Linked DNA regions of Macaca mulatta. The protein of the gene in region 1 purifies or fractionates together with the protein of each later gene. This does not show direct contact. Links are inferred from orthologs where the notes say so. Each region holds a gene or a part of one and is shown on either strand. Other genes may lie near its edges.

What was found.
Region 2: the proteins of ACVR1 (region 1) and TGFBRAP1 purify together in Homo sapiens (co-immunoprecipitation; 3 studies listed by BioGRID and IntAct, counting the BioPlex papers as one, with this or other methods). This does not show direct contact. The link is inferred for Macaca mulatta from reciprocal best matches to the Homo sapiens genes ACVR1 and TGFBRAP1.

What each region holds. Positions count from the first base shown.
Region 1 is NC_133417.1:62,607,496-62,614,549, forward strand, and holds the end of ACVR1 (activin receptor type-1 precursor), read right to left. Parts: intron 4,761-7,054; coding exon 4,630-4,760; intron 3,844-4,629; coding exon 3,709-3,843; 3' UTR 2,629-3,708; downstream 1-2,628. UniProt on the Homo sapiens protein: Bone morphogenetic protein (BMP) type I receptor that is involved in a wide variety of biological processes, including bone, heart, cartilage, nervous, and reproductive system development and regulation.
Region 2 is NC_133418.1:13,410,065-13,417,534, forward strand, and holds part of TGFBRAP1 (transforming growth factor-beta receptor-associated protein 1), read right to left. Parts: intron 3,877-7,470; exon of another isoform or gene 3,874-3,876; 5' UTR 3,860-3,873; coding exon 3,172-3,859; intron 1-3,171. UniProt on the Homo sapiens protein: Plays a role in the TGF-beta/activin signaling pathway. It associates with inactive heteromeric TGF-beta and activin receptor complexes, mainly through the type II receptor, and is released upon activation of signaling.

The DNA.
Region 1 (7,054 bases):
AATTATTAATTATGTTACAGAAAAGGCCAAAAAGACATTAAAGTGGCATGGAGATAGCTGGGCATAGAGGTACACGACTGTAGTGCCAGCTACTTAGGAGGCTGAGATGGGAGAATCACTGGAGCACAGTTTGAAGCTTCAGTGAGCTGTGATCGCACCACTGCACTCCAGCCTGGGCAAAAGAGTAAGATCCCATCTCAAAAACAAAAACAAAAAGTACCACAGAGGAATCAACTAGAGATAGCAGCTTGGCATGGTTGTGTCCATACCAAGATTTCCCCACGCAAATCTCAGCTTGAATTGTGGTTTCCATAACAATTGTAATCCCCATGTGTCATGGGAGTGGGAGAGAACTGAATCATGGGAGTGGTTTCCCTCACACTATTCTCATGACAGTAAGTTCTCATGAGATCTGATGGTTTTATAAGAGGCCCCCCACTTTGCTCAGTTCTCATTCTTCTCCCTGCTGCCATGTAAAGAAGGATGTGTTTGCTTTCCTTTCTGCCATGACTGTAAGTTTCCTGAGGACTCCCCAGCCATGCTGAACTGTGAGTCAATTAAACCTCTTTCCTTTATAAATTATCCAGTCTTGGGTATATCCTTATAGCAGCATAAGAACAGACTAATATACAGCTACACCAAGGCTAAAGGAACAAAAGGAAGTGGATGGAATTACCAGAACTTTGAGGTTTAAAGGGGAGCACCCAGAGAGCTGATCCTTGGGTCTCTGAGGAGGAGGTCCTGTTGAGCTGATACTAGTGTCTCTGAGTTTGAGGGCAGGGCAGCCCTCTGGGGTGTGATCCCTGGTCAGTTGATACTGGCATCTCTGAGGTAAGGGCACAATAAAGGTGCTTCTGCAAATTTTAGAACAACTGCAAACTAGATTCACCTACTGCTACTGCAAAAAATGGCTGCTGCCAGGGTTAAGCAGGGAGGCTGGGGTGAGGCTGACAGAATAGGAAGCAGGATGGAAGGGCCAAGTCTCTTCAAAAAGACTCACTTGAGGGGAATGGTAAGAGCTCTTTAAATAGAATCAGTTATTCACTTTCTCCCCTCTGTGTCTTTGTTTTGCTGAAATGTGCATAATACTCAACAGAAAGACTAAAATGAAAAGGAAGAACATACTAAGTACTGTTGAAGATGGAGAACCAGAACTCTCATGGGTGGCTAATGGGAATGAACACTGAATAACCCTTTGTGAAGAAGATGGTTTGGTAACACATACTAAAGCCTAACATACACTGGACCCTGTTACCCAGAGAGTGCACTCCTGCATGCACACATCTTGTATGATTCCATTTATAAAGTCTTCAGTAAGAAACGAATATGATCAATGCTCTTAGCCATCAGGAAGGTGGTTACTCTTGGGGTTGGAGAGTGAGGTAGCAGCAAGAGGGAGACTTCTGGCATGCTCCGCTTCCTTATCTGGGTGCTGCTTCCATGGGTGTAATAAATTCATAAAAATTCATCGGGTTGTACACTTTTATATATGTAGACTTTGATGTGATTATGTAATATTTTAATAACCGTTAAAGGTAACACCATTCCGCTTCTGGGCATATACCCAAAAGAGTAGAAAGCAAGAACTCAAAGAGACATTTGCACACTCATGTTCATGGCAGCATTATTCACAAAAGCCAAAAGATGGAAGCAATTCAAGTGTCCCTCAGTGGATGGATGGATAAGCAGTTTCTATATACAAATGTGGAGTTTTATTCAGCCTGAAAAAGGAAGGAAATTCAAACACATGCTACAACATGAATGAACCTTGAAGATATAATGTGAAGTAAAATAAACCAGTCTCACAAAAGGACAAATACTACATGATTCCATGAGGTGCTTAGAGTAATCAAACTCTCAGAGACACAGAGTAGAATAATGGTTGCCAGGGACCAAGGAGGGAGGAATGGGGAGTTATTGTTTGACAGATAGAGTTTCAGTTTCACATGAGTTCTGTGGATGGGTGATGGTGATAGTAGCACAAGGTGAATGTAGTTAACGTACACTTTAAAATTAGTAAATTTTATGTTATCTGTAACACAAATTAAAATTTTAATTTTTAATTTAAAAAAAAAGTGATTCTAATATATACCTTCCAAGTAAATGCATGCATCGTAATGAAGTTATTAACTTACCTCTGGAAGACATTCCAGCATGTTCACACCTCTTCTCTTATTGGGCTACTGTTAACTCTACCTTTTTAATCTTGTGTACAAGAAGTGAAAAAATCAAGAATGGACTCTCCAAGCAGTAAGAGGAGATGCATAAGACCACTTTACATGGAACCTTTCACTAACAAAATGCTTTAACATCCTCCTTCCCGTTTACACTCACTACACCCCCCTGCAAGAAAGGCAGGTCAGAGATATCTGTTACCCTCACCTTACAGCTGGAGAAACTGACTGAAAAAGAAAAAACCAAAAAATCACAGCCAACGGAAGAAACAAATTTTCTTTTACCAAATTCAAGCTGTAAGACATCCTTATGATGTCTTACGTAAGTGCATGAGTAGATTTAAAAAGCAAATTCAATTTACAAATTAGTTTTGTGCTTCTATTGCTCCCATAATAAAATGCGTAATGTTACACAGATCTTTTTTATATTTTGAAAAACAATTTCACTGTTTGACTTGAAAACAGTTTATTTAATTTATACAAATAACTACTAAATACAAAAAGTAGATTAAAACAAAATAGTTATTTTTTTCTGGCAGAGTTTAAATGCACATAATGGATAATTCTGAAGAAAATGCATTTTCCCCGTAGCGTTCAGGACTAAAATTCTACTGAAATCTTTGCTTCTAAATCAGTAATATATTCGGTGGTGTCACGTGGGTAATGGCTAAATACGTTCTGCATATGAACTGAAAAAAAGTTACAGTCTACACACATACAAATGTGAAGCACTTAAAATGTGAATTTAACTGATAATAAAAGAAAATGTCCATTTTAGAGTATAGTGTTAAAAACATTTCGGTAATAAAATCATAAGACCACATAAAAATAAGCTTTAACATATGCACGAAGCAGTTTTGTAAAAACTACCAAGTGCACAAGTAATAAATAATTTGCAAAGTTGTGTATAAACAATTCCTAATGTTCGGCATCATTGTAAACATCAGCACATGTGTAAAATGCAGCAAAGTCTGACATTACATTTTGTTTTGCCAAATTGAATTCCTATTATCCAAAGACAGACCAGTGGAGTACGCAGCCAACATTTTGGCAAGTTGGGTCTTTAAAATTAAGAGTAACAGTGCAAGTAAGGAATGCAAAGAATTCCTAGTGCAATAAAGAAGAGAAGCACAGGCAATATTGCTGATTAAAAATTCACCACCTCCTTGAGTTTCCCGTGGGGAGTGTCTAGGAGACTTGTGAAAGCTATGCAAAGCCATTGTCTTAATGCCCAGATCTCTTTTAGGATTTCTCTGTGTTCCTCCAGTCCCTACCTTTGCAACAGTGTCTGTCCAACATTAGTCTCTGCAGTGTGAACAGTTCGTGAAATGCCCAGTTCACAGTCATCGAGCGAGGTTAGGGTGGTTTTGATGTCTCCCCAACACATGGCTGGGTACGATGTCTGCCTTGTCAAAGCAGCCATTTGGGGAGGGAGACAGATGGATTCTGTTCTGGCAACCAGTCAGGCCAGCAGTAGGTCCCAGCTGGACAATGACAACAATGTCAAATCTTCCTTCTTGACACTATGAAAATGTCAACAGTCAGTTTTCAATTTGTCGAGGGAATTATCAATTTTGGTCAAAGTCTTTTTGATACGCAGTGCTGTGAGTCTTGCAGATGGATTTTGATACCAGCATTCTTTCATTAGCTTGGCCAGAGAGGTTAATGTCTGAGGAGAGAAAGAACAAACACCACAATGACAAACTGGCTTTTTAGTGGCCCTGGAAGCTGGGCTGATATCATGTCAACTGTTCTGAAGAACTCGCAGGTCTTGTGAAATTAGAGTTATGTTACTGTCATCTTCTTTAAACAAATATTCAAGCTTTAACCACTGATAAAGAGGCTACTCGTAGAGTTTCATGAACTCTGTCCTTTGGACTCTTAATGCTACCAATTTACTTTATCAGGCAAACGACATAGGCCAGATTGGACCCCTTAATGATTTTATGGGTGCTAAAGGCAGCAATACTAACCTAGAGATAATCCTGAAATTTCCAAACAGGGTCATTTCTCATTGTTTTATATCTACTACTACTTATGAGTAGCAATACAGGATCTTCAGCATTCAGCAGCTTGTGTTTGGGATTTCAGATATGCAGAGATGGAAAGGAGGTTAAAAGCTTCACTTAAAGTCTCTTGGTTTACATATGAAACTGCAGTCTTAGGGCTAGTAGCGGTAGTCATGAGTCTCCCAATTCTTGGAGCTGCCCATTCATAGAAATTCTTACAAATATTGTCATTCACTAGCAACCCCTATCAGATATGGCTTCTTCGAGAATGGGAGTATTTGTCTGAGCTTCCTCTACTAGATCTAAACCCTTCCACATAAAATAGGAAGAGAAAACAACAGATACACAGGACAGATCACTCAGATGCTATACCAGTTGAAACTCAAAAGGAAACAAATAGCAAACAATGGAAAAGAGCTCTAAAACTGAGAAACTGGCATTCTTACCGGGTCTGAGAACCATCTGTTGGGTATGTTTGGCCTTTGTTGATCCACACAGACTACTTTCCTCATATCTTCAAAACTTGGGTCATTGGGAACCACGTCGTAGAACGGTGGCTTATAATCCTCCACTATACCTGCACACAAGGACAAGAATTGTGTTGGGTTAGCAAGAGAGTACAGGATCCCCCAAGATTTCATTGATGGGTGTCACAGGTTATAATGTGACAGAAGAAAATACTAATCACCTTCCTCATACCTCAGGGCAGTCCTGGAAGCTAAAGGTAGGTCCTAAAACAGGCAGAGAAAAAGGCAATAAATATACACCCTGCAGGGTATTGGAAGAAGGATAATTGTTAGAAGGAAATACGTGAAAACTTCTCATGTAATCATAACTATTAGCAAAATTCTCCCACAGTGTATATTAACAGCCCTGTAATGCCCAACAGGGCACTGAAGACATAGAACAAAAATTCCTTTGGTGATCAGAAACACCCAAGCCACCTGGGGAAAGCACATGAATCTAGTGGCTTCCAACCATAAATAGAAATAAAAAGTTGTCCACAAACCAGAGCTAGGGAGTAATAAACCAAGACCATCATCAAAATACCCCTTTTTTGTTATAAAAATATTGTTAAGAAAAACATTGTTATACATTAATCTCTTCCATTAGGAGGGATGCAAATAATATAATAGGAAATACTCATTTCCTCATTAATTCATTCTACATGTACTGAGTACCCGCTAACTGCCAGGCACAGCTGTCTGACTGATGGTTCTATTATTTAAAATCATACTGAAGGCATAAAATAAAATGTAAAGAGGATAGCCACGTGGGAAGGCAGAGGAAAAGACGGATAAATAATGAGCTCTTCCTCTGCCCAAAAGCAAATGTGAAAAGTAGCTAATTTCAGCTTCTGCCCCTGCATGATTTCCAGTGGCCTGGAAACCTTTTCTTTTCCAGCAGAATTATATCAACTCCTTAAACAGAAAAATGTTTAACTTCATTATTTGGAATTAGAAAATGGATTCTTCCCCTTCATAGACATAAAACCAAGACATCTATTATTTCTTTTCCCTCAACAAAGGGTTCAAACAATGAGGTAATAACTTGGTTTACTGCTCTCTTTTCTTCCTCCGGGTCTTTCTTCTATTCCTAAACACCTAAAAAGTTGTTGGAGGGGACAGAAGGAGACAGTGAGGAAAGTTGTAATTCAGTTGTTCTAGTTCCTAGAAGCCACCTGAAAAGCTTCAATTCCCTTTTCATTTATCATAGAAATTACTAACAGTGGGAATCCATTCTTACAAATTCCATACAAATACAAACCATTTATGCAAAACATTAGCTATGATAAAGAGCATCTTTTCAAGAAATACTATACATCTTTTTAAAACTTCACAAATTTGGCTAAATAAAGGTTTATATTTGAGATGGAAACTAGTCTAAATTATATTTTTTAAAAATCTAGGCTGGGTGTGGTGGTTCATGCCTGTAATCTCAGCACTTAGGGAGGCCAAGGCGGGTGGACCACTTGATGTCAGGGTTCGAGACAAGCCTGGGCAACATGGCAAGACCCTGTCTCTACTAAAAGTACAAAAAGTAGCTGGGTGTAGTGGCGCATGCCTGTAGTTCCAGCTAACTCAGGAGGCTGAGGCACAAGATTCGCTTGAACCCGAGAGGTGGATGTTGCAATGAGCCAAGGTCACACCACTGCACTCCAGCCTGGGTGACAGAGTGAGATTCTGTCTCCCAAGAAAAAAAACAAAACAAAAAACTAGTTAATTCCAAATAGCTTACCCACCTTGTGTAACTGCATTTGAAATGCATATCAGTCAGTGGATTAAAACCTTCCTAGCAAATCATAAACAGGTCATATTGGGTATAAACTGCTACTCTCAGAAGTCTTGGAACACCTCATCTTAGAGGCCCTTCTTCTCCTGTAAGAATCCCAGGAAGCATTCAAACAAATATCTTTTAATTATTTTCAGTACTAACAGACACCATCTAAAATACAGCTGAACATGGACCCAGAGAGATATTTTATATGTTTTCTAGGGTCACAAGAATTTACAGAAAACAGTAACACATGTGCTCTTCACCATCTCTCAATTTTTCTGAAAGAGAGTATATTTAATAGCCTACCTTAATATTTAAATATCTAGCATAACAGCCATCTATTTGGAGTAATTTACCTGTTGAGCTTAGGAAGGGTTATGTGAATGTGAACAGTAACACAAAGTTGAAGTTTTCTATAAATGCAAAAGAAAACAAAGCATGGCTGGATTTTTAAAACATGAGATCTGGTGATACCAAACAATGAATTTCACTATACAAAGCTGAAATTTACCCTTGTGTTTCCGTTTCCCATGTTTTAATTTTATTAAATGCCCCCATGTTTTAATAAAAGGAGTCAAGTATTTTTAAAAGACC
Region 2 (7,470 bases), on another chromosome or scaffold:
AGAAGAGAACCCCATATTGAAAACTGAATAACCGAATTGATCTGGGCAGTAACTGTCCATAGCTGTTAACATTACAGAGCGATGAAGGCATTCACATCAAATATATCACATCTAGATATATTTGATATTAAGGAATTACTGTCAGGTTTTTTAGGAATTGGGGTTTTCTTAGGTAACTTAGAAATATGTACTAAAATGTTTACAGATGAAACGCTATGATGTCTGGGATTTGCCTCAAAATAAACATGTATAAACTGAGAATGCCTGATGTTGGGTGATGTCTCTACCTGGTTCATTATGCTATTCTCTTTATTATATAAGTTTATATATGTTTTCTACAACAAAAAAAATTTCACTGTATGGAATTCCTCAATTTTTCGAAAAACAAATGTGGCTGGGCTAAAGATTTTTTCTTCAAAACGTAAGACTCTATAGCGTCAAACCATAAAAAGACATGGAGGAAACTTAAATGCATATTACCGGCTGGGCGCAGTGGCTCACACCTGTAATCCCAGCACTTTGGGAGGCCGAGGTCAGTGGATCCCTTGAGGTCAGGAGTTTGAGACCAGCCTGGTCAACATGGTGAAACCCCATCTCTACTAAAAACACAAAAATTAGATGGGCATGGTGGCACATGCCTGTAATCCCAGCTACTTGGGAGGTTAAGGCAGGAGAATCACTTGAACCCGGGAGGCAGAGGTTGTAGTGAGCCGAGATTGCACCACTGTACTACTCCAGCCTGGGCGAGGGTGGGGGGAAAGAGAAAATCCTATGACCAAGCGAAAGAAGTCAATCTGAAAAGGCTACATACTGTATGGTCCCAACTAGATGACACTCTGGAAAAGAAAAAACCCATGGAAACAGCAAAAAGATCAGCGGCTGCTGGGGCTTAGGGGAAGGGAGAGATGAACAGATGGAGCACAAAGGACTTTCAAGGTGGTGAACGGATTGTGAATGACACTATAATGGTGGATTCATGTCATGACATATTTGTCGAGCACAGTCCCTAATATGAACTACGGGCTTCGGGTGCTAACAACGTGTCCCCGTACCACTGTCATGTGGATAACGGGAGGGCAGGAGGTCCATGGGAATTCTGTGTACTTTCCCCTCAGTTTTGCTGTGAACCTAAAACTGCTCTAAAAAATAAAGTATGTATATATATATTTTTTTAAAGTGAAAATCAAGACATATACATGAAATAGTTCGTGACAGGAATTCTTGTTTGTCACAAGAAAATGTGTTTGCACTCAGCACTTTGAAATGAGGTGTCTATACAAAAACTCTCCAAGGATAAAAAATACCAGTGTTAAACGGAACGCACTCTCGCCAGCATCCCTGTACCATGAACATATACACGAATTCTAATATGAGCCACCCCTGGCTGGAAGACAGGAGACATCACTAAGGTTAAAGCACTGATTCTTAATTTTGATAAGGCTGTCTGGAGAATTAGGTAAGGCCACAGAAGAACCACTAAAGCCCCTTTTGAGGAGCTAGCTATGAAAAACTTTTTGGTGGGATGAAATGACAGGACATAAAAGAGAAAATGTTATGTACCTGACATTGAAAATACTTAGTGAGCTACTTCAACTCCTTTTCATTATTATTTATTTATTTTATTTCTTTTAGACAGAGTCTCACTCCGTCACCCAGGCTGGAGTGCAGTGGCACGATCTCAGCTCACCGTAACCTCTGCGCCCCCCCAGGGTTCAAGTGATTCTCCTGCCTCAGCCTCCTGAGTAGCTGGGATTACAGGTGCTCGCCACCGCACCAGGCTAATTTTTGTATTTTTAGTAGAGATAGTGTTTCATCTTTCGGCCAGGCTGGTCTCGAACTCCTGACCTCAGGTGATCTGCCTGCCTCAGCCTCCCAAAGGGCTGGCATTACAGGCGTGGGCCACCGTGCCCGGCCTGAAGTTATTTTTGTAGTTATTTACTTAAAAGAATTTTCCCGCTGTTGGAGTGGGTAGATAGGTAGACATAAGCAGGAGCGAAGAAGCCCTGAGAAAGGGAGGTCTGGAAAATCCCACATCCCAGAGACCATCAAAAAGATGCAAGCTGGCCAGGCGCGGTGGCTCATCCTTGTAATCCCAACACTTTGGGAGGCCGAGGTGGACAGATCACTTGAGGTCAGGAGTTCAAGACCAACCTGGCCAACATGGTGAAACCCCATCTCTACTAAAAATACAAAAATTAGCCAGGCGTGGTGGTGCATGCCTGAAATCTCAGCTACTTGGGAGGCTGAGGCAGGGAGAATTGCTTGAACCTGGGAGGCGGAGGCTGCAGTGAGCCAATACTGTGCCACTGCACTCCAGTCTGGGCAATAGAGCGAGACTCTGTCACAAAACAAAACAAAACAAACAAACAAACAAACAAAATGCATGCTAGATATGAGGAGAGAGGAGAGAAAGAGAGTAAAGGAGAAATTCCAAAGAGACATGCAGGTGCAGTAAGTATGGACCTAACCGCTGTACAACCTTCCTGGGATGGAGGTAATGAGCAATGCAGCCATTCGGTGGGATTCACATCCAACACCGGCTGTACATGCGCACCAACTAATAGTAAGAGAGGGCCCCACAAGCTTAGGGTAGAAATTAGGTGGGAGAAAAAGGCGGGGACTTAAGGCAGAAGCGGGAAAAGCAGACAAAGGAAAAAGGCAGAAACTTAAGAGAGAGGTGGGAACTTAAAGAAAAAAATCCAGCATCATAAAAACCTGAGGCAGAACTCTCAGGGCTGCTGGCTTACTCTCTCAGTATCCCACTCTGCCTCATCTTTCAGAACGTACTGTCTCTCTCCATATAAACTCTCTGTTCTCTATTTCCCTTCCTAAAGCTCTCTGCTATCTCTGAATTGTCTCTTGGCCAAAATCTTTCTCCCAAGATAACTAAGGGCTGAGAATATCCGCCCTTCCTGGTAACACCACCAGAGCTGTCTTCAAGCTCCACTTCAGTGTGAAAGAAACTGGTTTTATGACTGCAACCCCATGTTCACAGAACAATCGAACTGGATTTCATTCAGCACTGGTCAAGCACTGCTGCCTCTGTCTTGCCACACATGCCCAATGTCACTGAGGATTTATTCTGCACAGCGCCAATCTCACTCTCCAGTTTCAACATGCAGTCACGGAGGCCACCCAAAAAGACCAGGTGCACAAACGCATCCTCCTCACCCAGCCCTCCGGGGCCCGCCAGCAGGAACTCCTGTCTCCCTATCCTCTTGACGATCGGCGGCCTCTCCTCGCTGCAGTAGGGAAACAGGTCCTGGGAGACGCCCGTGCTGTAGTTGTGGATGATGTACTGAGTGGTCAGAGCCAGACACAGGAAGTGGCCGTCCACAGCCACAGCGAGGGGCTGCTCGGAGGTCGACACCTCCTTGACGATCTGCACCCGGTCCTCATACACCAGAAACATCTGGATGGTTCTGCGTTTGACAGAGATGATGCAAACTTCTACACAGAATGGGTCCCCGCTCACAGGGTTCTCATTCAGTGCAAACGTGGCTGCCCCCTTGATGCGGGCCCCCGAGGGCACGGGCTCGAGGTTCAGCATGTTGACCAGGCTGATGGAGTTGTCACACAGCACCAGCAGCCTGTTGAGCGCTGAGGCTGCGCGCAGCTCGTTCACGGGCTTCTTGAAGCCCAGGTGTCTGTGCAGCTGTTTGGTGGCAGTGAACGTGGCCGGCCCGGCAGGCACTGGCCTCTCCTCCAACAGGAAGTGGTAGACGAAGCAGTCGTTGGTACCCACGTAGAGGTCCCTGCCGCAGCACTCCACACACTCTATGTTGATGCGCTCCTTGTCGCCCATCAGCAGCTCCCGCTCCACGGCAGAGACAAGCGTAAAGGCTTTGATGTTCATCATGTCTACTGGCTGATCTGCTGGAAGAGAAAGAGGAAAACTGATTTTAGAGGAACAAGGAAGAAGCAGAAACAGCGGTTGCAATAATGATACGTGGATTCCCTAGTTAGCATGTTCATTAAAGGAAAACATTCTATGCTGTCAAAAAATGGAAAGAAACCATTTCCCCACTGACCTCCCCCATCGGACAGCAAGAGACCCCAGCAGAAAACCACACACACACCCCTCCACACACACCCACACACACACATGCACGTGCTTGTGATCACATGCCATCCTGCTCAGTCCCCACACAGAGTCACCTGGAGCCTCCTCGCATTGCTCCTGGGAGACACGCTTGCAGGCAGAAGACAAATGCACGCATTCACCCACAGGCAACATAACAGAAGGATTTCTGTGAGGCAGGAGGATGACTTGACCCCAGGAGCTGGAGGCCAGCCTGGGCAATATAATGAGACCCCATTAAAACAAAGAAACAAAAAAAAAGGATTTCTGAAAAAGGCAGATGTGATCTTCATTGATCTTCCCTGAGTTTCGACAGCTACTTGAATATGTACTTTAGTCAGTGAACACAACCACAGTCGCAGGATCCTGCCAGGGACACTGAGGCAGGTGCCAGGCCTTGCATTCCTTTGTGTTCTTCCCAAAAAGGCAGGCGCATCAGCCCCAGCTCCGGAGGAAATGTATTCATTTGGAGAGTAAAGGTGTGCCTCGGAGCTCGAAAGGCTTTCAGGTGGCGAGTGGAGCTATTCAGTGGATGTGTGGACTGGTCCCTGGTTCCCACTGAAAGTGAGAGCCTGTGGCCTCCTACTTCATCGTCTGTGGAGAACTGTGGCTTCACACTCCACAAAGTCAGAGGGAGAAGACCAGGCAAGGTGGCCTTTCTGACTTCTCAGGCGGCCAGAAGCAAACTCAAAGGCACAGTCCCTGTGATCAGGAGCAGGGCAGGGGATCAGAGAGCTGGAAAGAGGACTGCAGAGAATGACGGGAGCTGCAGGGCAGCTGGGAAGTGAAAGGTTCCCTATCACTATCACTTCCTCACCTCAAGCTCTCTGAACATGGAACAGTGCTGCTTCATGAGAGCTTAAGTTCCTAATACTCAGAGGCATTCCAGCAAAGTGGGGAAGACCTCTCAGAAATATTCAAGAAAGGTTCACGCATCAGGGAAGGGAAGGAATCAGAAAACTTCTTTGGTGCCTTTCAACTAGAAAATTTCGGAACTCCACAATTTCTTGTCTGCCCCCATCCATGGGGGTAATGACAACTACACATGAGAGAGACTCCAGCCCCCTTCCCTAGCTCAACAAAACCCCCAGGAGGGGGGTACCCCAGGGCTGAGGAGGCTTGTCTGTGGACATGTCAGTCCTTCCTGTTTTTTCCCATCGCTTGAGCAAATTACTTGTTGCTATGGTCAGAATGTTTGTGTCCCCCTAAAATTCATATGTTGAAACTTATCCCCAGAGTGGTAGTGTTGGGAGGTGGGGCAACTGGGAGGTGATTACGTCATGAGGGTGGAACCCTTACGAACGGCATTAGTGCCCTTATCAAAGAGGCCCCAGAGTGCTTATTTTTTCCTTCCATCCACTGTGTGAGGAGGCAGCTGGAAGGCACCACCCTTGAGGGACGGACCCTCACCAAACACTGAACCTACCATGCCTCGATCTTGGACTTCCCGGCCTCCAGAACTGCGAGCAATACATTTCTATTGTCTATTAATTACCTAGTGTATGGTAGTTTGTTAACAGCAGCCTGAACGGACACTTGGCTATTCCAGTCTCAATTGCCTCATCTGTGAAATGAGCATAATAACGGTACCTACTTCATAGGATTGTTGCATGAAGTAAGTCAGCTCATATGAAATACTGACAGCCGGCACACGGCACTCAAACTTTTGGATCTCATCATAAGTACTATGATTCCCTCCCAGTCTGGATCAGCTCCTATTCCTCTCTCAAACTACCAGCTTGCTTCTGGTGTTTATTTCCCAAGCTGAGCACCAAGAGATTAAACTATGCTGTCCTCTGTCCTCAGATATGGGTAACCTGTTCACCTCCACCAAAAGATAGCCTGCATCATAAGCCAGAACACACACTCACACACCTGCCCCACCCCACGACATCTTCACACTCATTTATGGGAGCTCATCTTCACAGAAACTATGGAAAAGAGATGGGGGAAGTGTAGAGGGAGGCTCAAAAGGCACCCCAGAGAAGGAGTCATGTCCATCTACCTCGGGGCTGTGGGAGCATCCCCAGAATCCCAGGTGAGGCCGGGTGCAGAGCTCCTGCAGGCTTCTACAAATAGTCTCTGGCACAAACAGCTCTTAAACAACGTCACGTATTTGTCCCAACCAAACACAACCACCGAAACCCACCTAGACAATGTTTTTTTCTCCATGTAAATGCTAATGAGTAAAACCCAGATACTGAAATGTCGGCTTCCAGACATCTAAGTTAGTGAAAGTGAAGTAATACAAAATACTTCTTCCTTCATGGATTAATCAATCAAGGTTGTCTTTTTTCAATGGCAGGAGTAAGCAGTTCTGCTATTTAAAATATAAATTGTGTCTTACTTTGCGGAAGGAATAGAGAAACAAACTCTGGGCACCTATAATCAAACTCCTTTTATTTAGCTTCTTAAAAGTATATTATCCATAATTCCAGCCCCTGTCTTCAGTTAGCACAAGGGATAAACTAAACACATTTGCAGTAAAGAATATTAGAGAAAGAATCAAACTCCTCATATTTAGTCTAAATCCTGGGGTAGATAGAGAAGGGGAGAGGGAGAGAGAGCTGTAAAAAAATATATGGTTTACTAAAAAGTCATAACTCTATATTTAAAAAGAAATGCAATATTGTTTCACTATCTAGTAAACTAGCTACTCAAGCCTTGCTAAAGATAAGCTTCCTATTACAGGCCTTTAAATTAAGGACTTGCTTTGGTAATTAAATGGTAATAATGCAGAATTATATGGAGGTAAATGAAAGCTGAAGAAGTAACAGGCTAGCACTTAAAAATGACTTATTCTTAACCCTGTCTCTACAAAAAAATATAAAAAATTAGCCAGGCATGGTGGGGCACACCTGTATTCCCTCCTCCTCAGGAGGCTGAGGCCGAAGAGTTGCTTGAGCCCAGCGGTTTGTGGCTTCAGTGAGCTATGATGGCACCACTACACTCCAGCCTGGGAAACAGTGTGAGATGCTTTCACACAGAAAAAATAAAAAATAAAAAAAAAAAGAAAAAGAAAAAAGAAATAAATAATTAGCTAGGAGTGGTGGCTCATGCCTGTAATCCCAGCACTTTGGGAGGCTGAGGCAGGTGGATCACCTGAGGTCAGGAGTTCAAGACCAGCCTGCCCAATGTGGCGAAACCCCGTCTCTACTAAAAATACACACACACACAAAAGTTAGCCAGGCATGGTGGTGGGCGCCTGTAATCCCAGCTACTCAGGAGGCTGAGGCAGGAGAATAGCTTGAACCCGGGAAGCAGAGGTTGCAGTGTACCGAGATCACACCACTGCACTCCAGCCTGGGTGACAAGAGCAAAACTCCATCTCACAAAAACAATAATAATAATAATAATTTTAAAAACTATTTTTTAAGCAGTAGGAAAAT